7 linked regions of the Cricetulus griseus genome follow. The protein of the gene in region 2 interacts with the protein of the main gene of each other region in a pairwise test. Links are inferred from orthologs where the notes say so. Each region holds a gene or a part of one and is shown on either strand. Other genes may lie near its edges.

Region 1 (4,461 bases), on a different chromosome or scaffold from region 2:
GACGTTGCCTGCCTCTCATCCAGCTGACATTTCCTGTACACTTTAAAAGAAAGGCTCACCATGGGCAGTTTGAAAGACTAAGATGATTCAGAAATAGTCTCTGTGCTCCAAAGACTGAGATGTCACAAGGACCAGACACCTGGTCATACAAGAGAACTGGACCAATGACAAGGCAGAGCAAGAGGGCATGTCTTATCCCTCCTACCGGGGAGCAGAAGTGGTCCAAATGATTTGTGAATAAGAAACGAGCAAAATGGAGGGAAGCGGGTGGAGCGGTGTGTGCTAAGACAGAGCAGTTCAAACCGGCTGCACCCTCGGCTCTTGCTACCATTGCAATCCACTAGCAGCTGCACTTGATCACTCACAAGCCAGGCCTTACCTTGGTAACCTAATCCAAGCATCATCCATCCCACTGTGATGCACCAGTTGCTACCTGTTCTAACTGGTCAGTACCTGAGCATTGTGGAGCTGTTAAAAAATGTAACTTAGTACACGCCTCTAATCCCAGCACTCAAGAGGCAGAGGCAGGTGTATCCCTGAGTTCCAGGCTGGCCCAATCTACACAGCAAGTTCCAGGACAGTCAGAACTACATATAGAGACCCTATCCCTAAAAATAGATGATTGAGAGACAGACAGATGGTTGGATGGATAGACAGATAACCCCCCCCAAAAAAACCCAAATAACCCTCAAGGGGCTGTCGTAATGGCTTGGCACTTAAGAGCACATGTTGCACCCACATGGCAGCTCTTAACTGTCTGCACACTAGTTCAAGGGTATCCAATGCCCTCTTCTGGCCTCTAGGGACACCAAGGGCACTAGGTACCCACATAGTACACATACATACATGCAGGCAAAAACACGCATACACGCAAAATACAATATACTTAAAAAATTGTAAAAGTAAGCTGGGTGAAGTGGCCCACACCTTTGATTCCAGTACTCAGGAGGCAGAGGCAAGCAGAACTTTGCATTTGAGGCTAGCCTGGTCTATAGACTGAGTTCGAGAACAGCCAGGGCTACACAAAAACAACAGAAAATTGTAAAAATAGAGTAATTCATAGGGCTAGAGATGTCTCTTTGGAAAAGAGCATACTGCTCATGCAGAGGACCAGAGTTCAGAGACAGGCAGCTCATAACTACCTATAACTCCATCTCCAGGGCATCTGAACACACAGAAACTCAATTAAAAATAATATAAATAGTCAGATGGGCGGTGGTAGTACAAGCCTTTAATCTTGAGAGGCAAAGGCTGGGGATCACTCAGTTTGAAGCCAGCCTAGTCAACAGAGTGAGTTGCAGGACAGCCAGGGCTACACAGAGAAACCCTGTCTCAGAAAACATAATAATAATAATAATAATAATAATAATAATAATAATAATAATAATTTTTTAAACATTAACTTTCTGGGCCAGTTAGCACACACCTTTACTCCCAGCACTCAGGAGGCAGAGGCAAGATCTCTATGAGTTCCAAACCAGCCAGGGCTACCGAGGGAGACCGTGTTTCAAAAAACAAAAAATCAACAACAAAAAATTAACTGGTTGAATCCTCACACTAAGCCTATGAAATAGGAATTATAGTTATCCTTATTGTATGGATGAGGAAATCAAGGTCCAGAGATTAATGATGGGTCAGGGAGGAATGGTTGCATCCAAAGTAGGCACTCTGTGTTAGAGCAACAGACTGCCCTCACTCACCTGGCTTGCCTGGTTAGAGAACACTAAGCATAGACAAGCATTGAGGGAATGGCCTAGTTGTTAATCCTCCTGGAATTCTCAGTAACTGACTGAAGCAAAGAAATAATGAAGGAGCATAATGAAAGCAAGCTGAGGGTGAGCAAGACAGCAGGCCCTGTCCTACGAGGCTCCAGACATGCCCAACCTTTTGACAATGACACACAGTCATCTACAAAGTGTTTACACTTGAGAACAGCTCAATTGAGTTACACTACCCCACCAGAAAAAAAAAAAAAAAAAAACTCATAATTTTAAATTTACTGATTTTGTGTAGGGCTGTATTCGTAGCTTTTTTCAATGTAGCCCCGGGGTACTCCTGCTCAAAAATCCCTCTTGTGCCGGCAGGACAAGGCCTAGAAAGGGAGCAGACGATTTGGGCTGACACTAGAGGGTCCCAGAAACACAATCTTCAGAGACACCCACTGATCATCGGGCGGTGAGAGAAATCCCCAGCTTGAGCTTAGAGCTATCCGCCCCCCCAGATCTATTTCCTACCTAGTTAGGTCTTTAGGAGTCCGGCCTGAGCCCACGGGAAGTGGGGGAGCCAAGCCCAAGAGTTCCTCGGAACCGGCGCGTAGGCAGGGGCGAAGGGATCCTGGCTGGATACGCGTTAAGAAAGGCAGGCAACGCAACACTACACTTGGCACGATCCAGCATTCTCTGAACCACTTGGGAACCCTGCCTTATATAAACCCTGGGTGGCAGGTCCAGGAACCCGCGCCCTGCAGTTCCGGAGCAAAGTTCTCAAAGACAGCCTTCTCGGTCGGCAGGGTTCGGCTCAAGCTTCTCCCGGAAGCGCACGGAGTTGGGAAGACCTGAACCAACCCCCAAGCTCTCACCCGCTGAGGTCCCAGGCTCACCAGCTCAGACCCTGCTCAACACCGAGTCCTGGCCTCGGGGGACCCTCGCACCCCCCGCCGAGCGCGAACACCCAGCACCGGCAGGCCGCCCACGGGGACCCCCACTCACCTGGCACCGGGGACCCGGGCGCTGAGGTTGACTTGCAGCTCCTTCCCACTGACGCTTTCCCGGATCTCAACCCGCGAGTGTCTACGTACCACGGAGGAGCCCGCGGGGCGGAAAACTCTCCAGGCGTGGTCGCCTTAAGCGCCCCGGGGCGGAGCCACGTGGGAGGGGTGGGGCCTCTCTAGAGGGGCGGAGTGCGTGGGACCACGCCCACAGGTGAGGTCCGCGTTCCTGCGTGTCTGCCTAGGAAGCCTGGTGCCTGCTCGCAGCGTAGAGCCGCTCTAGACCCCTAGAGACTTTCACCCGACTGTATGTTTTTAGAGATCTGACTGTGAAGAAAACTTTAAAAAGTCACACCACGTGTACGGCAGTAGGAAACTTCATAACGGAAAAATTTACCAACTGGCTCAGCCGGGTGACCAGGGCCACCATCAGCAGTGACGAATTATATTGACCTTCTGCCATGCGGTGTCTTCCTCTCAGTGACACATGATCCAGTGTAATCGTGCAGAAACATCAGACAACCCCCCAATTGAGGAACTCAACAACTGTCCAAAACTGTCAAGGTCATCAAAACAAGGGAAGCCTGAGAAGATGTCACATCGAGATATGAAAACTGAATAATGTGACATTTCCAATGGGATCCTGGGAAAAGGACATTTAGGTTAAAAAATAAACCAATGACATTTGAAAACTATAGATTTTAATAATAATGCATAGATATTGGTCCTTTCATTATAGCAAAAACACCAGCATGTTAATGACAGGACAAAACCCATGTTTATGGTAACTCCATGTCTTATCTTCCTAATCTTTTCTATAAATCTAAAACTATTCTAGAAATAGTGTTTGGGGTTAATTTTGGCTTTGTTGTTCGTTTGTTTTTAGAAAAAGGTCATGTCATACATATATGATTGGGTAACATTCAAAAAATAAAAATTGAGAGTCCTCTTTTTTATTTACACCCCCCCATCACTATTAGGCGCCTGCTTCCAGGTGTCTGTCCAACATTGTCTATGTGTGCATTGCTTAGTATGCTTAAGTAAACGTGTTGCTTGCAAACCTGGATTGCAGTATTTTTTCCTCACTGTATATTGGAGTCTTTTCAGTTGGCGACCCTGGATCAGCCAGGTTTTTCCTAAGAACCACCCAGTATTCTCCCTACCCCCTTAGGGATCGAGATTCTTTACTATCTAGCTCCCACCTGGTGTACACGTCTTTCCTTGGCCACTTTTGACTTGCAAATAAGCCTTTAGTCATTTGCATTTCAGGAGCCCAAAGAACAGAGAGTCAGAAGGAGCCTGGAAGGCAGGTACTTTGCCATTGTTGGCCCTGCGCCGAGGGGTCCACGTGCAGGCAGGTGGGGCTGCCATCATCAATCGTTGCTCTAACACATACACCTGCAGGCACAGCTCCTTCCTGATTGGATAGCGTGTTTAGGACAAGAAAGGATGGGCGGGCAAGCAATAGCTCCTGGAAAGTACCCCCTGAACAAAAGAGGGACAGAAAGAACAAGTAACTTGCTATTATACTTGTGGGGACATTGGGCTCTTGTGAAGTCTGCCACCAAACCAACTCCAATCTTCCTGAATTCCAGAAAGCTACTGTCACACTCTCTCTGGGGCGGGGTGATTCTTGAGGGAATGGCACCTGGTTTCAAGGCAGCTCCTCTGTCCCATCCCTGCTCAATGCTGGTCCCCCCAAAAGGGCTGCAAAGGTGGGCTTTGGATGGCCCATTTTCTCTGAAGCAGAGCCA
Region 2 (3,710 bases):
TGAAAGAACACACACACACACACACACACACACACACACACACACACACACACACACAGGTTTCATTAAGTCAGAAAAAAGAGTGAAAAGAGTCATTTGTAGAAGATAGATGAAACTAGACACAGCATATTAAGAGATACAAACCAGTCTGGGTGTGGTGGTGCACACATTTAATTCCAGCAATTGGGAGGCAGAGACAGGTGGATCTCTGTGAATTTGGCACCAGTTTGGCCTACATAGCAAGTTAAAGACCTCCAACCATGGCAGTATAGTAAAACTATCTCAAAAAAACAAGTATCAAAAATCAACACAACAACAAAACACACACACACACACACACACACACACAGAGAGAGAGAGAGAGAGAGAGAGAGAGAGAGAGAGATACAAGCCAGATTCCCAAAGACAGATATACCTACTTTTATTATTATTTTTGTGTGTGGAATATAGTTATAAAACCATGACCATATAACATCAAAAGCATACTCAGTTATTTGAGGGATTAGTCAGAACCCAGTGGGACAATATAGACAGGTACACAAGAGGCTAATGGAAGATGAATTGTGAACAAAGAACATGATATTCAAGTATGTCAGTGTCACAATATAATGTGTTACTTTGTCTGCTAATTTAATTGTTAATATTGTTGTAAACTTTGCTTTGTTGTTCTGAACTGTGTGTGTGTGTGTGTGTGTGTGTGTGTGTGTGTGTGTGTGTGTGTGTGTGTGTGCACATGGGTGGCTATAAAAATAGATCACATATTGAAGTGCATTTCAGAGTTCAGATAAAAAAGATTGTCTGAAACCCAATAATCAGATAGAAGGTGCTCCAGTGACACAATCTGGATATAGATTAGCGAGAGGCACTTATACAACACAGAGAAAATCAGTATGCTCCTGTGAAAGAGAGAAACACCTGTGCATCTGGCTTATGTCTCATTATATGGTGATGTCTACTTTCATATTTCTTCCTACAAATGAATTCATGCTTCTTTATGGCTGAATAAACTATTATCTATATCCATTATCATATCCATATCAAGATCCATATTATCTCTATCTATATTCCTCTCTCCGTGTCTCTCTGTGTCTCTGTCTCTGTCTCTGTCTCTCTCTGTGTGTGTGTGTGTGTGTGTGTAGTTTTCTTCATCATATGTTGGTAGGTATCTAGGCTGATGCCACATCTTGGCTGATTATGACTAACTGGTATAACAATAAACTTGGTTGTGTATACCTATAATTAGAAGCAGGTATAAACCACAGGTACTGCATTGAAAAGTCTTAAACATCATAGACCAGAGTGGAGAGGCCTCAAGATAATTCAACATGAAATGATTATACTTTTCTCTATGAAGTTGCAAATCAATTTCCTTGCTCCTATTTCAGGAATTCCAGAACATACTGGATGCCCTACATTCCAGACTGACTACCAAGGTCCCCACTCTGGTAACCCAGGACCTCAGGCTGGCTACACAGTCTCAACAGCTGGCTGTGAAGGTTATAATGCAACACAGCTTCCTGTTCAAAATAACCAGGCTATCATCCTTGTTAATACCCAATGGATGCCAGCACCACCACCTCTTCAGAGCTGCCCACCTGGGCTAGAATACTTAAGTCAGGTAAATCCACATACTCAGAACTCACAAAAGACAAAACTGTGTTTCTACTTCTAGTTTACTTGGACAACAAATGAATAATTCACCGAAGTATAGCATTGTCCTCATGTCTTCTGGTTACTCATAGTAACTGGTTCCACTAGATGAAGTTCAGTTGTTGTGCAAATTACCAAGGTGTGAGACAATTGTGTTTTCCTGTGAGTCTGGCCTATAACCCCTAATAGGCAGTATTTACTATACATTATTCTAGTCATTGTTTCAAGTACAATCCTTAGAAAATCTGTGACATGTGCACAAGATTATCACTGGTTTTTCAAAGAGGGAAACCAGCGTCAAAAAATGCTAACTGCTTTGTGGAGGCTCTAAAACCACGGAACAGTCATTGTGACTTACTTTTTAACTGTGAACTTTGGTAATGAGTATAAAAGCTTTTTACCCCAAGGCTGACCCACAGCCTTGGTATTTGAAAAAAGAGAGTCTAAAAAAAATTAGTTATTGTCTTTAAAGGATACCTAAAAAAGAGCAAGTTTAAAATTTTTCTCTTTGTTTTTTTGATACGGGGGTTTCTTTGTGTAGCCCTGGCTGTCCTGGAACTCACCTTGTAGATCAGGCTGGCCTTGCACACAAGATCCACCTGACACTGCCTCCCAAGTACTAGGATTAAAGGTGTGCTCCACCACTGCTGGGAAAGAGTAATTTTTTTCATATATGTAGTTTTATAAACTGTAACTCCACTTTTATTCTTTAGAAAACCCAATATTATAATTGCCTCCAGTGAGGGAAGAAAGTCTGGCTTTTGCCGAACTATAGTTCAATGATAATGAATTTTAGCAAAAATGCAGTTTAATAATAGCTCAATATGAAAAGCTGGTGAGGTAAAAAGAGGGCTGTGAGGTACACCAAATTCATGAACACATCCAGAGGGCCCTGTGATATCTAAGCCATCTCTAGTCTGTCTGGCACACATAGCACTAACATGTCCTGTGTGTGTTCAAGCAACAGACTTAGAAATTTTCAGTCATTTTGAATGCTCAGCCGTAAGAGGACATTGTTATGAATTCTCACACACACACACACACACACACACACACACACACACACACACACCAAGACTTGGGGAAATTATAGAGAAGGAGGCAGAAAGAATGTAGAAGTAGAAGAATAAGGAAAGGTGCCATGGAATGCAATCTATTGGATGAGGTGTGACTGCTGAACTCAGGAATGCACAGCAGCTAAGGGGGGCTTCCTAACTGAGGAGCTCTGGACACTTGTTAGCTTCTGGGGAAGGAAGCTCATTCTTCTTTGTGGGTGTGAGCACTGGCAGTTTTCCCATGCTCTACTCTATACCTGCACACCTGTGTACAAATGGGCAGCACTAATTGGACTTAGTGGATTATTTAAATATAAGAGAAATTTCAGTGCTAATTGTAATCTTAAAAATACTCTGGAATATACATAATTTAATCATGGAAAATAAAATATGAAGGAAAATTATCACTTACAAGGGATAGCTTCCTATAAGAAAATTATTTGAATGGATAAATAAATTATCAATCAATCTCATTTTCTGGAAAGAACACTTTTTTGTAATTTTATGGGAATTCCATTACAAATCAACTTTATTTGACTTAAAAATTCTTACTTTTGAGATGAACAAAAGTTTAAATAAACAAACTAGTGCTTGGGAAATGGCCCAAGAATTAAGAGGTATTCCTGGTCTGGCAGAGGACCCAGGTTTGATTCCCAGCACCCACATGGCCACTTACAACCATCTTCAGCTCCAGTTTCACTGAGTCTGTCTCCCACATATGCCCTCCGAAAGTACTGGATGCAAGGGGTACACTTACATGCATTTAGGCTGCACATTCATACAGGTAAAAATAAGTCCATCTTTAAATAAATATTTGCCATTAATATATAAAAATGTGATGCTATACAAAATACAATGGGGAGTGTGAAATGTTGACCCTGCTAGGAATTGATAATAATTCCATGCATCTTCTCTTTTCTGGAACAGATAGATCAGATACTGATTCATCAGCAAACCGAACTTCTGGAAGGTATGTATCTGTTGCATTGGTGGTATTTCTAGAAA
Region 3 (4,207 bases), on a different chromosome or scaffold from region 2:
CTTCTTCCTCCTTTTTTTTTCCTCTAAGACACAATCTCATGTAGCCCAAGCTGGCCTGAAAATTGTTATGCAGCCTAAACTCCCTGGTCTTCCTGCTTCTATATTCTGAGTTCTAGGATTATAGGCAAGCACCACCATGCCTGATTCATGCAATGCTGTGGATGGAGGCCAGGGCTGTGCACATGCCAGGCAAGCTCTCTGCCAACTGAGCCACATCCCTGGACCATTAGGTACACATTTTTTAGCACCAAGCATTCTTGCTGTTTCTGTTTAGCAGTTACTACCTTCACATGTATCTTTTCCAAAGCAAAATAGTAAGGTCCCCAATCAATTTTAAGTTAGGAACAAAGAAACTTACTCTAAAATAACCATAAAACTGACCGCTAATAATTGACTTACATGAAACTCTTTAAAACTATATGTGTATCTTCCAAAATGAGAGACAGCTAATCCCTCTCTATCATAACCCTCAGGGTGGTATTTTTTTTAAGCTTAAATTCAACTGTCTGTAAACAAGACTGCAATAAGCATAATTTTTCAAATGTCTATCACAATGTACTAAACACTGAATTATGAGACCTAATACCCACGCATTCAGTTTTCAAGGGCTTTGCATACAATCAACAAAAAATTACCAGCAAGTGATTGATGTTTACTCCTCAGAATTTTATGTAATCATTTCCTAATATATTCCATAAAATGACTAGAAACATCAACTAAAATTTTATCATGAAATAAATTTTAAGGTATGGCCTGTTGAATTACAGTGACTTAGTCTTCACAAAGGGCATAACGCCCATTAAAGGCAAATTATATATTTGATAGGTTGAACTGAGTACCGAGTTTTACCTTTGTATATTAAAAATCCATTCTGAGGAATGTCAACTCTGACTCGAACCATTTGGCTTCCTAAACCCTCCTTGAAATGGCCCTACATGTGTTTTTTGTTTATTTCAAACACTTAGATATCTTGAGCAAGACTAAAAGTGTTCCTTTTAACACTGGTTTTGAAATAAGAATTTCAGATTCCTCCAGAAAACCACCGAACATAAAATGGAATGCTAAAGTTTCTGCTTTAACACTTAGTGACCTTTTACTTTGTTCAGACAGAACGTCTGTTAGAGCAGTGGTTCTCAACCTTCCTAACGCTGTGACCCTGTAACATAGTTCCTCATGTTGTGGGGACCCCAACCATAAAATTATTTTTGTTGCTACTTAGTGACTGCAATTTTGCTACAGTTATGAATCGTAATGTAAATATTTTTGGAGATAAAGGTATGTCATGGGGTGTGAGCCACTCTACAGGCTTTCTTGGAGAAGAAAGTGAGTTAAGCATTTATCACACTCTTTTCATTGTCCCCATATAGCTGCCGTCTAATCTTCCCATTCACTTTTTAAATAACATTTACAGGGAAAGAGAGGAAATATCACCATGAGTGGAATCATTACAGCAGAAACAAAACTTCAAGTGGAAACACTTGAAATAGAACAAAACAAAACTCCTTCCTCTGGAGTGCTGCTTGCTGCGCAAAACACACCTGCCTTCTAAAACGTAAGAATTACCAACAAGCTTCCTTTCTGAACAGAGCTCCACTCAAATTCAAAGTTTTGTTTCTCACACACAAAAACAATATTCACTTGACCCAATTTTCTGCTTCCACTGTGAAACAGTTATCACAGGTAATCGTGAAGAAGCAACAGTTAGATTCCTCTCCAGCAAATAAGAGAGATCAGATTTAACGTATCTGAGACTACCCAGAAAGAAAAGATAAATCTATTTCTGACATGACTAAGGACTACCATGACCAAGCCGTGATCACCGGCCTGAAATAGGCACATCTTCCCTGGTCCACGATACTCAGGCAAAAAGCTTCATCATTTCATCCACCACCAGGAATCCACGGAAGAAAACCACGGGAATTTTCTTTTTTTTTTTCCAAAAAAAAAAAAAAAACAGTTATATTCACACAACCAACCCAAAAGTCAGCAAAATTTCTGTTTCCAGTGGTGTCCAAGCAGTTGCATCCATCCTTCTGCCCCTTTATTGTTCTAAATATTGCTGGCTTCCCATTGCAGGAATCCACACAAAGTCAATGAAACCACACTCTGAGCCAAAGGGCACTTACCTGGCATTCTCTAAAAGCAGACACGTGCTTTCCTTGGTCCCCACGCAGAACTCACAGCAGCCGTTCAGCCCAGCTGGAACTGCCAGACTCTACTCAGACCGGGTGCCAAGGATGCCAGTCGCAGCACAAGCAGCTCCCTCCCGGCCAGGCTCCCCTCGCCCGCCCCCCTCTACTCCCGGGAAGTTTCAAGGGGTGGTTCTAGAAGCCTAGCAAGAGACAGGGACCTGGGAGTTGGTTTCAAAAAGGCCAGCAGCTGGAGAGGCTGCAAAGATTACCCGCGACTAACGGCGTTAGTGAGTCTTCCTTTTAAAGACGGTGAAGAGGGGGTGGGTGGTTAGCTGAAGAGCCCACGTGACCGCGAACCCGGAGCTGGAGATCTCCGGCACTCCGGCGCTGCGCCTCCACATCCACTGGATGTCCACTTCCAGCCATCTCACAGCCACCCACTAGGGACGCCCCCTCCCTGCCCAAGAGACTGACAATGGAGGACCGAGAGAATGGGCATTTCTGACCAGGTCCCCAGGGATTCTGAAGTTGACAGTGCGGGTCCACACTTGATCCTGTCTCCAGTCTTTGACCCAAGCGGATGTCATTAAACGCTTAAGTCTGACAACTATCCTTGAGAAGCGTGGACCAGGCCCTGGGTTCGGGTAATAGCATCGAAAGGGGCAGTAATAACGGAGTCATGAAGCCAGATAGGTCCCTTGCAGGGAGCGTTAGCTTGATCCCCAGAAAGGCAAAGCCACCGGCTGAAGGTGGAAGCGTGGATACTCATCTCTCAGAGTCTGACGGCGGGGGTGAGGAGAGAGAATGAAGGGGAAAAAAGTCTTGGATTAGGTCCAGGATCTCGGGTGCCTCCTGGAATTCACCTGGAGAAAAGCCCCTTACGCTTTTATAGGGCTCCTCCCACCGTGGCGGCGAGGGTCTCTGGCGCCCCCTGACGGCAGCCCTGATTCTCCCAGCTCTGAAGGTTGTCAACCTTCCCCATTCATCTGGAAGTGGTCCTACTATGCAAAGATTGCGATCATATCTTAGTCTCTGAGAAATAATTGACTGTAAGGCAGCCACTGATGGGAAAAGGTAAAAGGAAACCAAATGACCTGTAGGCTAACGAGGTGTCACATGTGTACCTAATCAGTCATCAAACCATCCACACACTGCGCGGGGGACATGTTTATGAAGGGTTTTAAAGATCTACCTTTTAATCTTTTTAATTATGTGCACGTGGGCATGAGCTCATGCGAGCAGATCCCACAGAGACTATAGGTGTAGGATTCCCTGGAGATGGAGTTATAGGAGGGTGTGAGCCCTGGGGCATGGGTGCTGACAACAGAATTAGACTTTTTTTTTTTTTTTAATGGTTTTCCAAGACAGGGTTTCTCTGTGTAACAGTCCTGGCTTTCCTGGAATTCACTTTGTAGACCAGGCTGACCTAAAACTCACTGAGATCTGCCTGCCTCTACCTCCCAAGTGCTGGGATTTAAGGGTGTGCCTCCACCACCTAGCCAGATTTAGGCTTCTTTTCAAGAGGACTATGCTATCTCAACAGCTGGGGTGTCTCTCCAGACTCAGGACAAGGTTCTTGGTGGGTGGTGGTCTAACAGAGGGAGACCAAGGGGATATTTTGAGGGAAACTTGTACAATGCCAACCTCGACTGTTTGGATGTAACCAACATGTTACACACCCACAATGTATTATTACATACGAACAACAATGTGTTCTTAATTTTAAAAATCACCTGGAATGGAACATCAGTGAAGCACTGTCAATCAAGAGCCAAGAGGCAGGTAAAGGTGGAGTGGGGATAAAGAAAGCATCTATGGAGTATGTATAGCAAGCCAGACTGCACAGCAGCTCATTTAATGTTTATACCAGTTCTGAGAGGCAGGTAATACTGGCCCCACCTTCCCGACAAGGACTGGAGGCTCACAGAGCTTACATCCACAATATGAAGCTACAAGATAAGAATGTACCCAGTGAGGTTGGAGAGGTGGCTCAGAGGTTAAGAGCACTGGCTGCTCTTTCAGAGGTCCTGAGTTCAATTCCCAGCAACCACATGGTGGCTCATGACCATCTGTAA
Region 4 (4,414 bases), on a different chromosome or scaffold from region 2:
AGCCACCATTTGGTTGCTGGGAATTGGACTCAGTTCCTCTGGAAGAGCAGTCAGTGCTCTTAACCTCTGAGCCATCTCTCCTGCCCTTTGTTTTGTTTTTATTTTTGTTTGTTTGTTTGATTTTCTGTTGAGTTGGTTTTTGGTGGGTTTTTTGTTTGTTTGTTTGTTTGTTTGTTTTGAGGGGGGTTGAGACAGGGTTTCTCTGTGTAGCTTTGGAGCCTATCCTGGCCCTCGCTCCGGAGACCAGGCTGGCCTCGAACTCACAGAGATCCGCCTGCCTCTGCCTCCCCAGTGCTGGGATTCAAGGCGTGCGCCACCAACGCCCCGAGGTTTTTGTTTGTTTGTTTGTTTGTTTGTTTTTAATAAAGATTTGTGGGGCTGGAAAGATTGCTTAGAAGTACCCAGGTTCAGCTCCCAAGGCTCACAACCTTCTGTAACTGCAGTTCCAGGGGATCTGATGCCCTCTTCTGGCTTCTGTGGTACTGCACACATGAGGTGCACATACATACACGCAGGCATTCATGACCATAACTCCTTTTTAAATAGCATTTTCTTGTTCGTACGACTGTTTTGCTGTATTCTTTCCTGTGCCTTTTTTTTTTATGGTATTATACTTGGGCAGTGGTGGTGCACACCTTTAATTCAGGTATCTGAGGTAGACTTTATGTCTGCCTGTTGACTTTTTTCAGACAGGTCTCGCTGTGTTGGCCTTGGCTGGCCTAGAAATAGATCTGTCTTTGTCTCCTAAGCACTGGAATTAAAGGTGTGGAACATCACACTCTATGTGGCTGCCTTTTGACAACAGGGGGTACTTAGGAATTACTGTGAACTTCTTCAAGTTCAAATGTTATAGTCACATCCTAATTATTTTAACTGTAGATGAACAAGAGAACTGGGCAACCCATGATCCACATCTATCTGGATAAGGAGACAGGAAAGCCTAAAGGTGATGCAACAGTGTCCTATGAAGATCCACCAACTGCCAAGGCTGCTGTGGAATGGTTTGATGGTAGGATGTCCTCCCTGTCACTCTGAATTTTGCTCATGCAGGAACATTTAAGAAATTAGAACAGTTTGTGTGTCCCCTCTGAGAAAGTATGTGTTATATTGGATACTGTTAAAACACCATTCTTTGGGGCCACTGGGCGTTGGTGCTGCACGCCTCTAATCCCAGCACTCAGGAGGCAGAGGCAGGCGGATTTCTGTAAGTTTGAGGCCAGCCTGGTCTCCAGGGTGAGTGCCAGGATAGGCTCCAAAGCTACACAGAGAAACCCTGTCTTCAAAAAACAACATTCTCTGGAATGTAGAAACCGAAGGAATGTACTTAACCTTTTTCTGGACCACAATAGGGGAGGAGGAAGGAATTTGAGAGCTGAAACAATAAGATGATCCACTCCAGAAGGAAGTTACTCACTGTGTTCCCCTTCTACTGTTAAAGGACACAGACACTGGCCCTGGGTCAGGATATCCTGTTATGTGTGTTTTATTGCAAAGCTACCTTGTTCACGCTGCAAATACTCACCTAACGTGTATAGTCCCTGGGTTCAGTTTCTTAACATCATGAAAGAGAGAAGGACACAGAAAGGAAGATGTCTTTGCCAGTGTACATTTGAGTGTTTCCAAGACCCACATATGTAGCTATTGATGGCTTTGAGCTTCCTGATCTATTTCCTACATCTACTTCCAAATGTTGAGATTATAGGCATTGGCTAGCTGGCTACCATGCTCAGTCTTGTACATGTTTAAACAAGCCATACAAACTGTGATACTTCATCTCCAGTCATACCAGGAAAGAGCCTAGAGATTGTGAGGTTTTAATGCTTTGGTGGGTAGACAAGTTCAGTAAGATGGAATCTGTTGAAAAGTAGCTCCTTGGAGAGGGAAGAGTTAAAATGTAAGGATCACTGATGTTCTGTTACCTTTTCTAGGAAAAGATTTTCAAGGAAGCAAACTTAAAGTTTCTCTTGCCCGAAAGAAGCCTCCAATGAACAGCATGCGGGGTGGCATGCCACCTCGAGAGGGCAGAGGGATGCCACCACCACTTCGTGGAGGTATATACATTGGGCACTTTCTTTTAGCTACTTTTGTGTTACTTTAAACAGTTTTGGTTTGGGTTTTTTTGTTTTTTGTTTTTCAGTGATTTTTGCCCTTGAGAAACTTAGTAGAACAGTAAAATAAGAAAAGGGTGTGTAAAATTGATACTAGACCATTGAGCCAGCATTGTATGTTTGTACAATATGGGTTAATTGGTAGAGCTCCAGGGAACCTCTGACTGGCTGTCAGTTTCATTATATGAAAATGCCATAGTTGGAAGCTACATGAAATTGCACAGAAAGAATAGCATTCATGGACAGCACTCTGGGCCTGTGGAAGAGTTTCCTGTAGCAAATTTGCTATGAAGAGGTGATTGACTGTTTATTGTTGCAGGTCCTGGTGGCCCAGGTGGTCCTGGAGGACCCATGGGACGCATGGGAGGCCGTGGAGGAGACAGAGGAGGCTTCCCCCCACGGGGACCCCGAGGCTCCCGAGGGAACCCCTCTGGAGGAGGAAATGTCCAGCACCGAGCTGGAGACTGGCAGTGTCCCAATCCGTATGTACTTCTCCCTGCAGATTGATAGCCTGCTAGTGGTGTCACCCTATTCCCACTCTGGGACAGGACTGTTATGGGTAGAGGTTTGGTTGAGTACTCAGGTTGCTTCTGGGAGTGCTTTGCTGCCTGAGACTTACTTCAGACCCTAGTGTTTTGTGCCTGGACTCCCATGATTGTGCATAGAATATGGTGTGAATCTTTCTACCCCCCTTAGTTCTATTGGTGATTTCTGTTGTGATGCAACTTTATGCAGGGGCTGTGGAAACCAGAACTTCGCCTGGAGAACAGAATGCAACCAGTGTAAGGCCCCTAAGCCTGAGGGCTTCCTCCCGCCACCCTTCCCACCTCCGGGTAGGTATAGGTTTCTTGGAGCGTCTCAGCTTCCTGGTGATTGAGTAGTGTCTGCTCTAGGAGAAGGATTAGCAGATCCACCACAGTGTGTCCTCAGAGCCTCAGCCTCTACTCCTCTGACTCACCTACCACTCTTCCTTCCTACCTTAGGTGGTGATCGAGGCCGAGGTGGCCCTGGTGGCATGCGGGGAGGAAGAGGTGGGCTTATGGACCGTGGTGGTCCTGGAGGAATGTTCCGAGGTGGCCGAGGTGGAGACAGAGGTGGCTTCCGAGGTGGCCGTGGAATGGACCGAGGTGGCTTTGGTGGAGGAAGACGAGGTGGTCCTGGGGGCCCTCCTGGACCATTGATGGAACAGATGGGAGGAAGAAGAGGCGGACGTGGAGGACCTGGGAAAATGGATAAGTATGTGGTGGGGAGCGCTGCCTCTCCCCAGCCTCTGCTGGAGCACTGGGGGCTCTGGTAGGGCTCTGTGTCCCTTCCTTGTTCTAACCAAAGTGTCTCTTTGACTTGCAGAGGCGAGCACCGTCAGGAACGTAGAGACCGGCCCTACTAGACAGACCCGCAGAGCTGCATTGACGACCAGATTTATTTTTTAAACCAGAAAATGTTTTAAATTTATAATTCCATATTTATAATGTTGGCCACAACATTATGATTATTCCTTGTCTGTACTTTAGTATTTTCACCATTTGTGAAGAAACATTAAAACAAGTTAAATGGTAGTGTGCTGAGTTTTTTTTTTCCTTTTAAAGATGGTTGTTTTAAGACTTAACAATGGGAACCCCTTGTGAGCATGCTCAGTATCATTGTGGAGAACCAAGAGGGCCTCTAATTGTAACAATGTTCATGGTTGTGATTTTTTTTTTTAAATAAAATTCCAAATGTTTATAAACTCTCATCTTTCTCGGCCTCTATTCTGCAGTCTCGTGTTCGGTTCTTTCCAGCCCTTATTGGATGGGTGCAGGGACTTGGGGGTGCTCTTGGAGAGGTAAGCTGCTGGAAACCTGTGCTCTCATCCACTGGCTCCTCCAGAGTGAGCTGGAACTGTTAGGCTTTGCTGCCTAACATTTGCTCCCCTACTTCTGGAAGACTGAGCCAGCCACCAGGCCTTCAGTCATTCCAGCTCCACCTGTCTAAACCCACAGGATCATCCTGTGTCTTCACTGAGACAATTGCCATGTCCCCTGCAGCGCCAACAGATCATTCTTAGTTCCTTTTCTGCCCTCTTGACTTTCCTGGTGCTCCTCTACCCAGCAGACCTCCCACTGTGTTTTGTCTTTAGGATTTTTGAAGTTTCTCTGTGTAGTCCCAGCTGTCTTGGAACTCACTCTATAGACCAGGCTGGCCTCTAACTAAAAAGAGCTGCCTGCCTCTGCTTCCCAAATGCTGAGATTAAAGACCTGAGCCACCATGTCAGCTCTTCACCCTGTGCTTTTAACTCAGTTGGCACCCTTTTTCCAAGAGCTGCCTCT
Region 5 (3,190 bases), on a different chromosome or scaffold from region 2:
GCATATTCTGTATGAGAAGTCAATATGAAAATGATGGTTAAGTTACTGAGTATTTAGGGGTATCTGCTTTTTTTCTGTCTTCCTTCCACCCCTGGGGGATGTGTTCTATATACAACAGAACCAGGCTTCCTAAGAGCTTACAAGGGAAGATGAATCTGATTCATAATCGTTTACCCGAGTCAAACACCATTTCCAACCAGAATAAACCTATTCTCAAAATCAAATTCATGTCATTCTTCGTGCTAATGCTTAATCAGCAGATCTGTAGGTGGATATTAGAATGAATAAGGTATTTTCTATTTGTAACCCATTACTTCTCTTCAGGGGTCTAGTGAAAATTATGTGAACTTATGTGATGTGAACTTATCTCTATGATCAGTTTTGTTTCAAGGCCAGCTGTAAAGTTCTTAAGTCTCCACGACCTTGGGCAAAGTCACTTCATTTCCAGCCTCTGTGAAACCTAGTAACCATCTCTTGAAGAGGAAGGGACATTACATGCTTGGATGCACCCCCAGTAAATGTTTGTGATAATGTTTCATGTACCATGAAACTAACTTCTGAACTTAGAAGACTGAGGACAAATTGGGGGCCGGATTTCCTTGACCGCAGCTGCCCACACAGCTGTAGAGAAGATACACGGTTTCCTGATTTCACTATGCGGAAGAGGAAGGTCCATATTCCAACATCGCTCAACAGACTTAAGATGGAAAATTCAAATACCCCCACCCCCCAAGCGTTGCCAGGGTGTGAGCATTGCCCACCTTTACCTCTGCCTCAAATCCTGCGTCATAAGACCCCTTGCGAATGTTCATGTGATAATTGTTCTGGCAGGAACCCCTTCTCCTCACATAAAGCAGCATGTCCACCCCAATTGGCTGTCGTCCTGGGCAACCAAAGACGCAGTGGGCACGCGGGGTTGGGGGAGGGGGACCAGCCTGTATTTAAAGGCTGCCACTGCCCAGGCCCCATTCAGTCCGGCCAGGACGGCGACGGTGAAGCACCTGGGTTGAGAGGGAGGAGCAAGGTAACAGGCCACCCTGCCTCTCCCGTCCCCAGCCTTAGCCTCAGCTGAGGCGGGTGTGTGTGGGATCCGGGAGTGGCTCTCACAGCTCATCGCCCACCAACACCTTCCTCCCCCACCATCCTTACCCCACCCAAACCACCTGGGCAAGACAACCCAGGTGCGAAAGACAGTGATTCTGAAAGAAGAGCTAGCAAGTGGAGAAGAAAGAGGGGGATCCTTGTGAAGACAGAAGACAAGGTCACAGGCACGAGCACGTGGTCCTCGGGACTCCAACTAAGGAGGCTTTTCTGATTGGGCATCAGATCTGGCCAAAGTGAGGACTCGTAGGACACTACCACTAAGATCTCGTGAAGATCCCTGAGCCATGACCCAGACGGTCAACGAAAGGGAGGATCCCCTCAATCTGGGCGGCGGCGGCTGGGCATCCTCCATCCCTTTGCGCACCTGGTCCTCCTACCATCGAAGGCAGAGGGGCTCTCAGATGTCCAAGCGGCGATACCGCAATGGCCCCAAAGCTGAGTATGAGGCTACCAGGAAACAACCCAAGCAACAGCACAGCCCTGGCCCTTGGTTCCAACCACCCAGACGGCCCTACTGGGCCGTGTACTCCAACTGGGGGCGCTGCGGAGGGCACTGGCACCCACCCCTGATGGCTTTCCAGAGCCCCTTGTGCCCAGCGCAGATGATCCGGGCCTATGGTCTGCTCCCACTCTGCCTTTGCTGCTGCTGCTCCTGCTGGTGCTGGCCCTGCAACCCCGGTTGGGAAAGACCCCAGGGCAGAAAGAAGCGCTGGGGCCGCAGGGGCCGTGGCCTGCGCCGCCAGCCTCGTGGCTCCTTCCCGAGGAACCCACCTATAGACCTGAGCAAGCTGCTGCGGCCGGTCAACCTTTACGGGTGGCGGGCGCCTGGGATGCGAGCGCCAAGGAACACCACCCAGTTCATCATGAACCAGGTCTATGAAGACATGAGGCAGCAAGAGAAGCTGGAGCGCCAGCAGGCGGCGTTGAGAGCACAGCAAGCCCAGGTGGGCGGCACCACCCCGGGAGGCTCCACTGCCAATGAGACGCCTCACAGCGGCGTCGAGGAAGACTCGCAGTTGCCGGAAGATCTGTATGGCTTCATGCAGGATCCCTCTCTAATCTTAAGTCCTGCTCCAGTGCAGCAAATCCAGTCTCCCACCCCGCAGCGGGTAGAGGAGGAGGAGGAAAAAATTGATGATTGTGACGAGGTTTGTGATGAAAAGGAGGAGAGTGAGGAGGAGGAATATAGAGAGACAGAGGATGAAGATGTGGATGAGGAAGAAGTCGAAGAGGCTGACAATGGGGAAGAAGGAGAAGAGAACCAAGAGGAGGAGGAGATGTTGGAAGAGGAGGGGCTGCAGGAGGGAGAGCAGAGAGAGGAAGACAAATTCTTGCCTCTGGGAATGCCTTTGTCAGTCCTAGTAGGGGACGAAGAAGAGAGAGAGAACTTTATAAACTATGACTATTTAAGCCCAGAACAAATAATTCCCAATGTGCCAGAGGCAGATCTGTTTATGGTACCGGACATTAGCCATTAGTCATCAAGAAGGGAACTGAGAAATGAAATAGAACTGATTTGAATTAACAACTTATTAAATACAAATTCCAAAGTGAGTTCCATTAATAAACATCAATGTAAACACCTCCGTTGGCCACTATAAAATATTTAAACATTGGTGTGTTTGTGTATGACTATGGGTGGGGGCAGGAAAGATTTCAGATATATTTTACTGGAAATGATTAAAGACCAAATATTTTATTACTACAGTTTGAATATTTTTATTTGCTGTCTCCATTTTCAGACAATTGAGACTTGGTAGTTCAAAGTTTTTGCAATAACAAGAAAACATTTAAATTTACACAGCTTAATGAGCTTGGAATAAACAGTTTTTTATTGTCACGTGTTTAAGAAGCATGCATGGTAGTCACTGAATACTTACCAGTGCTCATGTCACCGAGGGCACTTTGAACAGTATTTTTCAGCAGCTGTAGATTTTCCACCTTCAGAGTTCATTTTTGAGGGCTGTATTTTGGTAACCCAGTTTGCAGTCTGTTGTGGCATTGCTCATTTATATTCCTTGTTCCACAGTGCTATGGATCTTCCTCAGAAGAACATGAAGTTGCTTCTGTGGAACTGGTTATCTGC
Region 6 (4,237 bases), on a different chromosome or scaffold from region 2:
AGCATTATTAAGCCCTATTAATTAGTATCCCAGTGCTTTTTTTATCCTTTTTTTTCTTTATTTTATTATAATTTTTTGGTGAGGGGACCCTACTGTTATCCCAAGTGCTCTTATTCTGGTGAGAAGAACCTTACTTCCATAATTTGGGAAGGAATGGGAGATGGACATCACCGGACACCACCAGACACTAGGATGGGATGGATGGTTTTGGGGGGATGGAATGGAGGAAATAAGTCTTACTGTCTGTTCTCCTGGGGTCCCCCCCCTCCAACTTTTGCTGCCTCCTCCTGAGCCAGGATTGTCCAGTGACTAAAGTGTAAATAATGATGTACTGGCGGTAGGAGAGCTGCAAGTGTGCCCTCCTGTCCCTTCTCCCCCTGCCTGGATTATTTAAAAAGCCATGTGTGGAAACCTATTTAATAAATAATGAAGTCACAAGTGAATGGCCATTTATAGAGGTAGGCATTAGTGGAGCACCTACTGTATGCTGAGTTTAGGAGATGCCTGGAGAAAAATCTCTATTGAAGAAAACCCCAATGAGACAGTGGGCCAGTCTGACAGTTTTTGTTTTTAGATGGGGTCTTTTGAAGCTCAAGCTAGCCTCAAACTTGGAGTGGTGGGATTTACTGGCACAAACATAAATCCCAGGCTCCAACTGGAATCTTTCTAGCACTTTCTGTGTAGCTCTTTAAACCTTAATTTTGTCTGCCTTCCATGCTCCTCCTCCCATCTACCTCAACTCACCTCCCTTGGTGTTCTCTAATTCTGACGTCAATTGTCCTGAACCCTGCCCATCATTTCCTCTGTTATGGTGACTAGCCCTCCCTACTGAAGTTAGATGGGGCATTCTCTGAGTCTAGCCATAGCCCTATGTCTCACTTGTCCCGCCTTCTCGAAAGTCCGGTTCCTCCCAGTTGGCCTTCGGCCCTTAGAGGGCGGGACCTGGCTGGGAGATGGGAATGGAACTGAGTTTCTCATGTGAGAAGGGTGGTGCCATCCGAAGGTTCCAATAAAAAGCCGAGATGGCGGAGCAACATAACCAATGAAACCACCGGATGGTTTGGGCTGGTGGTGTGGACAGTCGGGGTCGGTGAGGCCGGCAGGGAGGTGTGGGCCGGGTCTGCTGCCACGTTGTGCCAGCAGAGAAGTGTAAGGACTGTGGCGCTCTTGGTCTCTCAGGTTTTGGTGAAATTTGGGAAGCTCGAAACCACCATTTTAGAATCGGGGTTGGAAAAAAAATCGGGTTTGGAACGGGCTAAGAACACCCACCTCCCCGTCCCAGCTAATGCTCCGCCCACCACTCCGGAGGCCCGGAAGCGGACGTGATGGATACGGAAGTAGCCTGCTGTTGCCGAGGGGACGGAACGGGCAGATGCCAACATGGCAGCGGTTGGGGTTGGCGGATCTGCCGCGGCGGCCGGGCCAGGGGCCGTATCCGCTGGCGCGCTGGAGCCTGGGTCCGCTACAGCGGGTGAGATGACCTGAGGCAGAGCAATTGGCTGGGCGGAGATGGGGATCCTTGGGGGTGGAACGATCCTTAGTTGGAGTGACAGCGGCGTCTCGTATGAACGGACGTTGTGTTTGAGTGTGTATGAGAGTGGGAAGAAGGGGAGAGAACGGACCATTGTCCATTGCGGGCAGGAATCGGTCGTTTTGTGGGTGCTTGTGGCGGGGGTCCTGGACTTGCAAATAAAGACCGTTGTGAATGTGTAGGGGATTTCCTTTTGAGGCGGCTGACCGTTGAGAACGTTCTGGGGGTGTGGGTAGTCTTTAATCGTGGAAGGGAAAGCCAATTCTGGGGTGGGAGTTTTTCCTTATAGAAGGGAGAGGCGATTCTTAGGGTGGTGGCTTCTTCCTTATAAAGGCACCTTATAAATTGTCAGGGTGGGGCATATCCTTGTATGACTAGTGGATCCATTTTGAGCCTCACGCTGCCCTTCATTCCATGGAGAGATTGTCCTGGGGATGTCCCAGCCAAATGGAGATAGTTCTATTTATGCTAAGGTGGGAAGGTTCCTTCCTTATAGGTCAGGGAAAAAACATTCTGAGGGTGCCAAGTCCTTCTATATAGCAGACAGAGCTCATTGTGAGTGTGGGTAGAACAAAGAATTATTCTTTGGCTGGGAGGAGGGTTACAGCAGAAGAAGGATGGACTATATGGTGTAGGGAAGTATTTCCTTATGTGATTAAGATAGACTACTGAGTAACCATTAGATGAGATGAGAAAATAGAACAATCCTTAGGAGGTGGACATCTTAGACAATTGTCCCATTCGTTATATTGAAGTATTATTTCTTTTATGGGACACTCCTTCAAGTAGAAACCTCACTTCATATAAATCCTCAATTTGCTCATCCACAATATGGGATTTTTCACAGTACCTTCAGAGACCAAATAATGGGAATCCATGTAAATCCCTTAGTGCAGTGATAGGCAGTAGCATTCAATACACATGGGGAATGCTGTCAGAGAAAGACTTGCTTCCCAGAGGAGGGAGAGGAAGTGAATATGTATGTCCAGGGCCTGCTCAGGTTGTTTCCTCACACCTTACCAAGGATTTCAGATTAAGAGCTGGTCAGAATGGGGCCCGCTTTTCCCTGTCTGACACTTTTGCCAGTAACTGAGGGTGTGGAAACTGGTAGGGAATCAGATTCTTGTTTAGTCAAGATGGGCAGGCAGAGGAAGTTCCAGTGACTGGGAGGTTTTTGAGAAAAGAGGGGTGAGATGGGTGGCTGTACCCCAACAGCTTCTGACCCCATCCTTCTGTGTTCATTCCACTCCCTACAGCTCACCGGCGCCTCAAGTACATATCCTTAGCTGTGCTGGTGGTCCAGAACGCCTCCCTCATCCTTAGCATCCGATATGCTCGTACACTGCCTGGTGATCGCTTCTTTGCCACCACCGCTGTGGTCATGGCTGAAGTGCTTAAAGGTGTCACCTGTCTCCTGCTGCTCTTCGCCCAGAAGAGGGGTATGAGTCAGGGAAGGGGTTGGTTGGTCTGACCCCCTTCGTGTAAGCACACCTGGGAGGTTTTTTTTTGGGGGGGGAGTGTATACTGGTGTGTCTGAAATTGCTTGGAGACTAGTGGCTTCCCTGCCACTCCAGCTGTGTAAAGTTTCATCGCCGCTTGTATAGCCCTTCCACCTTGGAAACTGTAGTAGTGAGATGGTCTGCCCACCAGGCAACAGAACACTCATGGGGATTCAAAAATTTAATGTTACCTTATGGAAGCCAAGTGTGGAGGTACATGCCTATAGTAACAGCACTTGGAAGGTGGAGGCAGGAAGATCAAGATAACATAGGAAGTTCAAGGCTAGCCTGGGCTACATGTGACTCAGTCTAGAAAGGAAAGAAACTTTGTAATATAAAGAACTCCATCACACACACACACACACACACACAGAGAGAGAGAGAGAGAGAGAGAGAGAGAGAGAGAGAGAGAATAGTAAAATGGTTCACAATTCTCAACCCTTGGCTACTTGTCATAAAGTAGCATCACTGGCTAGCTGCTCACTGCTAATTTATATATCTTTTACATGGCTGCACCATTATAGGACCAGCTGGCTGGAGTGTCATGCAATTGTAACTACACCTGGTCAGCATACTAAGGCAGAGCATCAGTTAATTCCATGACTTCAAGGCTAGTTTGAGCAACATTTAATGCTCCAATGACTCAAAACAAGAAAAAAACAAGCAATAAGTAAATACCTACAGATGGGGGTGTGGCTTAGTTGATAGAGTGCTTGCCTAGAATATATAAAGCTCTGGGTTTGATATCAAGCACCTTATAAACCAGTGTGACAAATGCCTATAATCTGAGGCAGAAGGATCAGCAGTTCAAGGTCATCTTTGACCACATAGTGAGTTCAGGGACAGCTTGAACTATCTGAAGTTCTATCTAAAAAAAGGAAGCATAATAAAATCATACATGATAAAATAACAATAAAACTGGGTAATTCAGCATGTAGGAGGCAGGAGGGTCATAAATTCTAGGTCTTCTTGGGCTGAAGAAAGATCCTATCTCAAAACAAAACAAATAAATAAACAAAAACCCCAAACCCCCAATGAACAAAAGAACAAAGCCAGACCTGATGATGCAGGCCTGTAATCTCAGCTACTTGAGAAGCTGGGGCAGAAAGATCCTAAGTTCAACACCAACCTGGTCAACTTGCTAAGACCCAGCCTCAAAATAAAACATAGGATTAACAAGATAGCTCAGCAGGTAAAAGCTCTTGCC
Region 7 (4,487 bases), on a different chromosome or scaffold from region 2:
GGTAGGTCAAGGATGCTTGTAGTTACCTGTAGATTCCAAAGAACATTCCTCTATCAAAAGAAAATCTAGCAAATAAAGATTAAGAAACAAATCATAAACTCCACAAGAGAGCTGGGGTTTTATTTTTCAGTTTATCTGATTTTGTTATTCCCTTTGAACACACCTGTTCCATTCAATAAGTAATTGCTATGCTGTCTCTAGTGGTACAGGCCTATAACCCCAGGTATTCCTGAAAGTGAGTGGGGTGTATAAAGGCATCCCTGAGCTACAAGGTTAGTTAAAGGCCACCCTAAACAACTTAATAATGTTCCCCCTTTCTTTCTGGAGATAGAGATGTCGATATATAGATATAAATAGATATATATGTATGTAATATATAATCTCGTGGGTAATATAAGCACATAGGTGATGCTAGGACTCAGGGGCGGGGACATGACAGGAATCATTCTCAGTTATATAGCAGGTTCAAAGCAAGCCAGGGCTACATGAGACCCTGCCTCAACAAAATGGGCATTATATGTCTAGGGCACAACAAGCAGTTTATTGCTTCAAAGTCTGGCAAAGGTGCACATGCAGCCCTGTGTTTAGTCAGATTTCAATTGCTCGGATAAAACACCTTGACCAAAAACAACTTGGGCAGGAAGTTTATAGCTAATAGTCCATCATGGAGAGAAGTCAGGACAGGAATTTAACGCAGAAACCTGGGGACAGAGCTGAAGCAGAGGCCATGGAGGAAAGCTGTGTACCGGTTTACTCCCCTTCGGTTTGCTCAGCTTGCTTATTATTTTATACAACCTGCCTAGCGGTAGCACCACCCACACAGGTCGGGTCCTCCACGTCATTGATCAAGAAAATACCCACAGACTTCCCTACAGGCCACCGGACGGAGACCTTTACCAGTTGAGGTTCCTCTTCCCAGATTAACTTCAGTTGACAGAAAACTGATCAAGATACCTTCTAAACCAAACCCTGTGTAATAGATTAGAGTGGGTAAACTGACGACATATCGGCAGTATTACGAAACTCCGGGAAGTGCCGAATATCTGGTACCGGACCTGTCCTCCAGAGCCTGTGCACGCACAAGTGCCGGTGCCAAGCAGAAAAAAGGCTGAAGGGGGTTGTTTCCGCCCCTCCCCGAGCGAGGGACTCCGGTTAACGTGGGACTGAAGTAGGCGGTGGCTCTCCTCCTCTAACTCTCACCCCAGCTTTGCCTCAACTCTCGGAGGTTCCCCGAGCCGGCCTCAGACCTCCCTGGGCGCGCTCCCGAACCCTGGGATTACACCGTGAGCGCGCGCCCGCGAGCTCCCTGCAGCCCCGTGCTCATCCGGGTCTCCGCGAGCCTCAGCCAATGGAAGCAGCTCCCGGCCCCCCAGCTGGACTCCGCCTCCTCCCCCTCCCCCGCGGCCTGTGGCCCCGGGCGAGCGTCCCGGGGATGAGGAGCCACCGGAGGCGGCGAGCGCGGACCCCACACGAGAACTGCGGTCCCGAGTGCCGAGCAGCCTCCACTGGTCCGGAAACACCCGGCGCCGCCGCTCACCCCGGGGTCTGGGCCAACGTAGTAAACACACTTCAGAAACGTGAGGTGCCGGTGGTCACGTGGGGCGCGTGCGGCCCAATGAGAAGCCGGGGGCGGGGCGGAGGCCGCTGACGCGGCGGAGTCACCCGGGCAGCCTCGGGACCGGGGACCGGCCGGCCGGCGAGAGTCCAGCGGCCTGGAGCGCCAGCCCGCGCGATCCGAGCTCCCTGCCCGCTCCGGGGCGCACAGGCCGCGTCGCGCGGAGGCCGCGGGAGCTCGTGTCGCTGCGTGGAGGCCGCTTGGGACGCGCCACCGTCTCCTCGCCGGCCGCCTCGCCAGGGCGAGGTTTCCGTGACGAGCCTCCCGGGGCTGCTGCGGCCAGCTCGGGCCGTCGTGGCGGCTCGAGCCCCGCGCGCTTGCTCCCGCCCCGGGGGTCGCAGGCCCCGGAAGGTATGCGTGTCCTCCGGACGCTGGCCGCGGGCGCGGGCTCCTGAAGGACGTCGCCCGTGGACCTCAGCGCCTCGGCAGCCTCCATTCATCTGCCAGCTGCGCGCCCGCCGCCTCCGCGCCCGGCCTCGGCGTCGCCTACTCCCGTCCCCTCTCTGCCGTCCTTTCCCCACTCCTCGCGTGCGGAGGTTCTCCTGGAAGCGCAGGTGTCGGTTATGAGCCCGGCCTCCCTCCCTTGAAACTCTCGGTAGAGGAAGTCGGGGTGACCCGTCGCGCCCCGGGCATGGGGGTGAACGCCGTGCACTGGTTCCGAAAGGGACTCCGGCTCCACGACAACCCCGCCCTGAAGGAGTGCATCCAGGGCGCCGACACCATCCGCTGCGTCTACATCCTCGACCCCTGGTTCGCTGGCTCTTCCAATGTGGGCATCAACAGGTGGCGGTGAGTCCAAAGCACTTGGGGAATTGATCGCGGGGTACACGAATGGGTGTTGATGAGTTAGTGGCAGATCTGAGATTTGGTTTTAGTTCAGGGATCGAATTGTTCACACCGTTTAAGAATTGTAGATGTGGTCTATATTAAATGCTGTAGACTTAATAGTATGGTACTGAGCACCTGGAACACCTTGGTCTTCATCCTAAGTTATGTGTCTGTGTGATGGAAACTCTTTCCCCGATTTGTGAGATATAAAAAGTAGGGGAAGTAAACACTCCCAGGCCTTGATTCCTTTGGCCCTTGAAAGGGTTGTAATCTTTACTGTTGACGTGTGTGTCTAGGTAACTCATAATGTGGAGAAAAACCATTCATTTATTACAGCCGGTTCCAGATCGAGCTTTCTTCCCCCTTGAGGTTAGAGGAGGAAAAGCAAGGGAAAGAATTACCTGATTTCTCTTTGCTTAGCTCTATCTCACTCTCAACTCCTCCTTGTGGTTGACAAGATAAAGCACAGTTTTTCTTTCGAGGCAAAATATAATCCTTCTAGGGAATCCACCCTGGAAGAAACCCTCAGGATGTTTTTTGAGCTGTTGCTGAAAAAGCAGGATAGATGATTGTGCGGCTGAATGAAATGAAAGCATTAGTTCGGTAGATGTATTGGTAGCTATGTGCCAGGCATAGCTTTGAATGTGAGGGATAGAGCAGTGAACAAAGTCTGTCCTCTTCAGCATATGTCTGAGAAAGGAAAATATATATGTAGTCTTTTAGGTGACAAGAAGTAATGCAGAGAAAACACGAGGTAACAGGAATGGGGATGGGGGCACACTTTAAAATACTGTTAGTTACCTGGGGCTATAACTCACTGGAAGAGTACACCTGCTGTGTATGAAGTTCAATCCTCAGAACCATGGGGGAAAAAAAAAAAAAAAAACAAAAAAAAACGTTGTCTGTTGTAGAAATAGTGGAGAACGTCATAGCAGATTTGGAAGAAGTGATGGGATGCAGCTATGTAAGAGAAGAGCGTTCCAGGACCTTTGGAAGGAAAACCCAGCCAGAATGACTGGAGCAGAATGAGTGGGGAAAGTGATAGCTAATGAGGTGGGAGTTGTAATGGGGCCACATGAATAGAGCTTTATAAGCAGTTACTAAGGTCTGTGATTTGACTCAGAGCAAAGTGGAAATGATTATAGGATTATGAGCAGAGAAGTGACATAATCTGACTTAAGTTACAAAAATTTTTCTTTGTGATTCCGGGAACACGCTAAATGGTGGAATGAAGACAGACAAGAATTGAGAAGACCACTTAGGAGACTCGTACTTATCCCAGTGCAAGATGAAAATGGCTTGCACAGAATGTTCTGGCAAGTTGGTTATGGTGTTGAGCACAACAAAAGGAACTATATTACCATAGTCAGAAGATGAAAATGACCCAGATATCCATCAGCTGATTACTCTTTGTAATGTGGTATATCCTTGTAACTGTTACTTGTCCATAAAGGAATGAAATATTGATAAATGCTGTAAGATGTGTGGGTGAACCATGAAAACATGCTAGGTGAAAGAAACTGGTCATGAAATTTCATATATTATATGGCTGTGCTTATATGAAGTATCCACAGTGGGCAAATACACAGGGACAGAGAGCAGTTTAGTTGTGACTTAGTCCTGGGGAAACTGCAAAGTTGGGAGGGTCTAGCTATGGGCACAGCGGGAAGTTATGGCTTCATACCTCTGTAAATAGCCTTTAAGCTGTGAACTTTAAAAAGTCTGCTTATCTCTCTAAGACTCAGCCCAAATGTTGCTTTTTCTGTGTTACCTTCATCATCTGGTCTAGGATGATGCAGTCTTCTGAACTCCTACACTGTGCTTGGTATTGCTTCTTACACATTCTTAGGAATGTATAGTTTCTTTTTTTTTTTTTGTTAATGAATATTTGGTATCATTAGCTGATTTGGGCTGCTGTAACAGGACAGGTTAGATTGGGTAATTTACAAATAAAAGACTAGAGGCTGAGAAGTTCAAGATGAAAGCACCAGTAGATTTGCTATCTAGCAGGGACGAGTATACTTCATAGATGGCATGTTCTACA

What was found.
Region 1: the proteins of phospholipid scramblase 2-like (region 2) and Anxa11 interact in a two-hybrid assay, tested with the Homo sapiens proteins (2 studies listed by BioGRID and IntAct). The two-hybrid records come from large-scale screens. The link is inferred for Cricetulus griseus from reciprocal best matches to the Homo sapiens genes PLSCR1 and ANXA11.
Region 3: the proteins of phospholipid scramblase 2-like (region 2) and Esr2 interact in binary tests that used the Homo sapiens proteins (3 or more experiments, as listed by UniProt). The link is inferred for Cricetulus griseus from reciprocal best matches to the Homo sapiens genes PLSCR1 and ESR2.
Region 4: the proteins of phospholipid scramblase 2-like (region 2) and Ewsr1 interact in binary tests that used the Homo sapiens proteins (3 or more experiments, as listed by UniProt). The two-hybrid records come from large-scale screens. The link is inferred for Cricetulus griseus from reciprocal best matches to the Homo sapiens genes PLSCR1 and EWSR1.
Region 5: the proteins of phospholipid scramblase 2-like (region 2) and Ccer1 interact in a two-hybrid assay, tested with the Homo sapiens proteins (2 studies listed by BioGRID and IntAct). The two-hybrid records come from large-scale screens. The link is inferred for Cricetulus griseus from reciprocal best matches to the Homo sapiens genes PLSCR1 and CCER1.
Region 6: the proteins of phospholipid scramblase 2-like (region 2) and Slc35a2 interact in a two-hybrid assay, tested with the Homo sapiens proteins (2 studies listed by BioGRID and IntAct). The two-hybrid records come from large-scale screens. The link is inferred for Cricetulus griseus from reciprocal best matches to the Homo sapiens genes PLSCR1 and SLC35A2.
Region 7: the proteins of phospholipid scramblase 2-like (region 2) and Cry1 interact in a two-hybrid assay, tested with the Homo sapiens proteins (2 studies listed by BioGRID and IntAct). The link is inferred for Cricetulus griseus from reciprocal best matches to the Homo sapiens genes PLSCR1 and CRY1.

The regions. Positions count from the first base shown.
Region 1 is NW_023276807.1:193,979,266-193,983,726, forward strand, and holds the start of Anxa11 (annexin A11), read right to left. Parts: upstream 2,863-4,461; 5' UTR 2,709-2,862; intron 2,384-2,708; exon of another isoform or gene 2,235-2,383; intron 1-2,234. UniProt on the Homo sapiens protein: Binds specifically to calcyclin in a calcium-dependent manner. Required for midbody formation and completion of the terminal phase of cytokinesis.
Region 2 is NC_048597.1:201,287,269-201,290,978, forward strand, and holds part of phospholipid scramblase 2-like, read left to right. Parts: intron 1-1,385; coding exon 1,386-1,618; intron 1,619-3,632; coding exon 3,633-3,675; intron 3,676-3,710. UniProt on the Homo sapiens protein: Catalyzes calcium-induced ATP-independent rapid bidirectional and non-specific movement of phospholipids (lipid scrambling or lipid flip-flop) between the inner and outer leaflet of the plasma membrane resulting in collapse of the phospholipid asymmetry which leads to phosphatidylserine externalization on the cell surface.
Region 3 is NC_048598.1:127,302,431-127,306,637, reverse strand, and holds the start of Esr2 (estrogen receptor beta), read right to left. Parts: upstream 3,010-4,207; 5' UTR 2,402-3,009; exon of another isoform or gene 2,206-2,401; 5' UTR 2,127-2,205; intron 1-2,126.
Region 4 is NW_023276807.1:99,823,674-99,828,087, forward strand, and holds the end of Ewsr1 (RNA-binding protein EWS), read left to right. Parts: intron 1-879; coding exon 880-1,009; intron 1,010-1,928; coding exon 1,929-2,051; intron 2,052-2,427; coding exon 2,428-2,590; intron 2,591-2,843; coding exon 2,844-2,941; intron 2,942-3,091; coding exon 3,092-3,344; intron 3,345-3,455; coding exon 3,456-3,495; 3' UTR 3,496-3,840; downstream 3,841-4,414. UniProt on the Homo sapiens protein: Binds to ssRNA containing the consensus sequence 5'-AGGUAA-3'. Might normally function as a transcriptional repressor. EWS-fusion-proteins (EFPS) may play a role in the tumorigenic process.
Region 5 is NW_023276806.1:163,522,408-163,525,597, forward strand, and holds Ccer1 (coiled-coil domain-containing glutamate-rich protein 1), read left to right. Parts: upstream 1-1,388; coding exon 1,389-2,582; downstream 2,583-3,190. UniProt on the Homo sapiens protein: Regulator of histone epigenetic modifications and chromatin compaction into the sperm head, required for histone-to-protamine (HTP) transition.
Region 6 is NC_048604.1:114,346,311-114,350,547, forward strand, and holds the start of Slc35a2 (UDP-galactose translocator), read left to right. Parts: upstream 1-1,371; 5' UTR 1,372-1,380; coding exon 1,381-1,471; intron 1,472-2,787; coding exon 2,788-2,970; intron 2,971-4,237. UniProt on the Homo sapiens protein: Transports uridine diphosphate galactose (UDP-galactose) from the cytosol into the Golgi apparatus, functioning as an antiporter that exchanges UDP-galactose for UMP.
Region 7 is NW_023276806.1:150,258,463-150,262,949, forward strand, and holds the start of Cry1 (cryptochrome-1), read left to right. Parts: upstream 1-1,682; 5' UTR 1,683-2,246; coding exon 2,247-2,404; intron 2,405-4,487.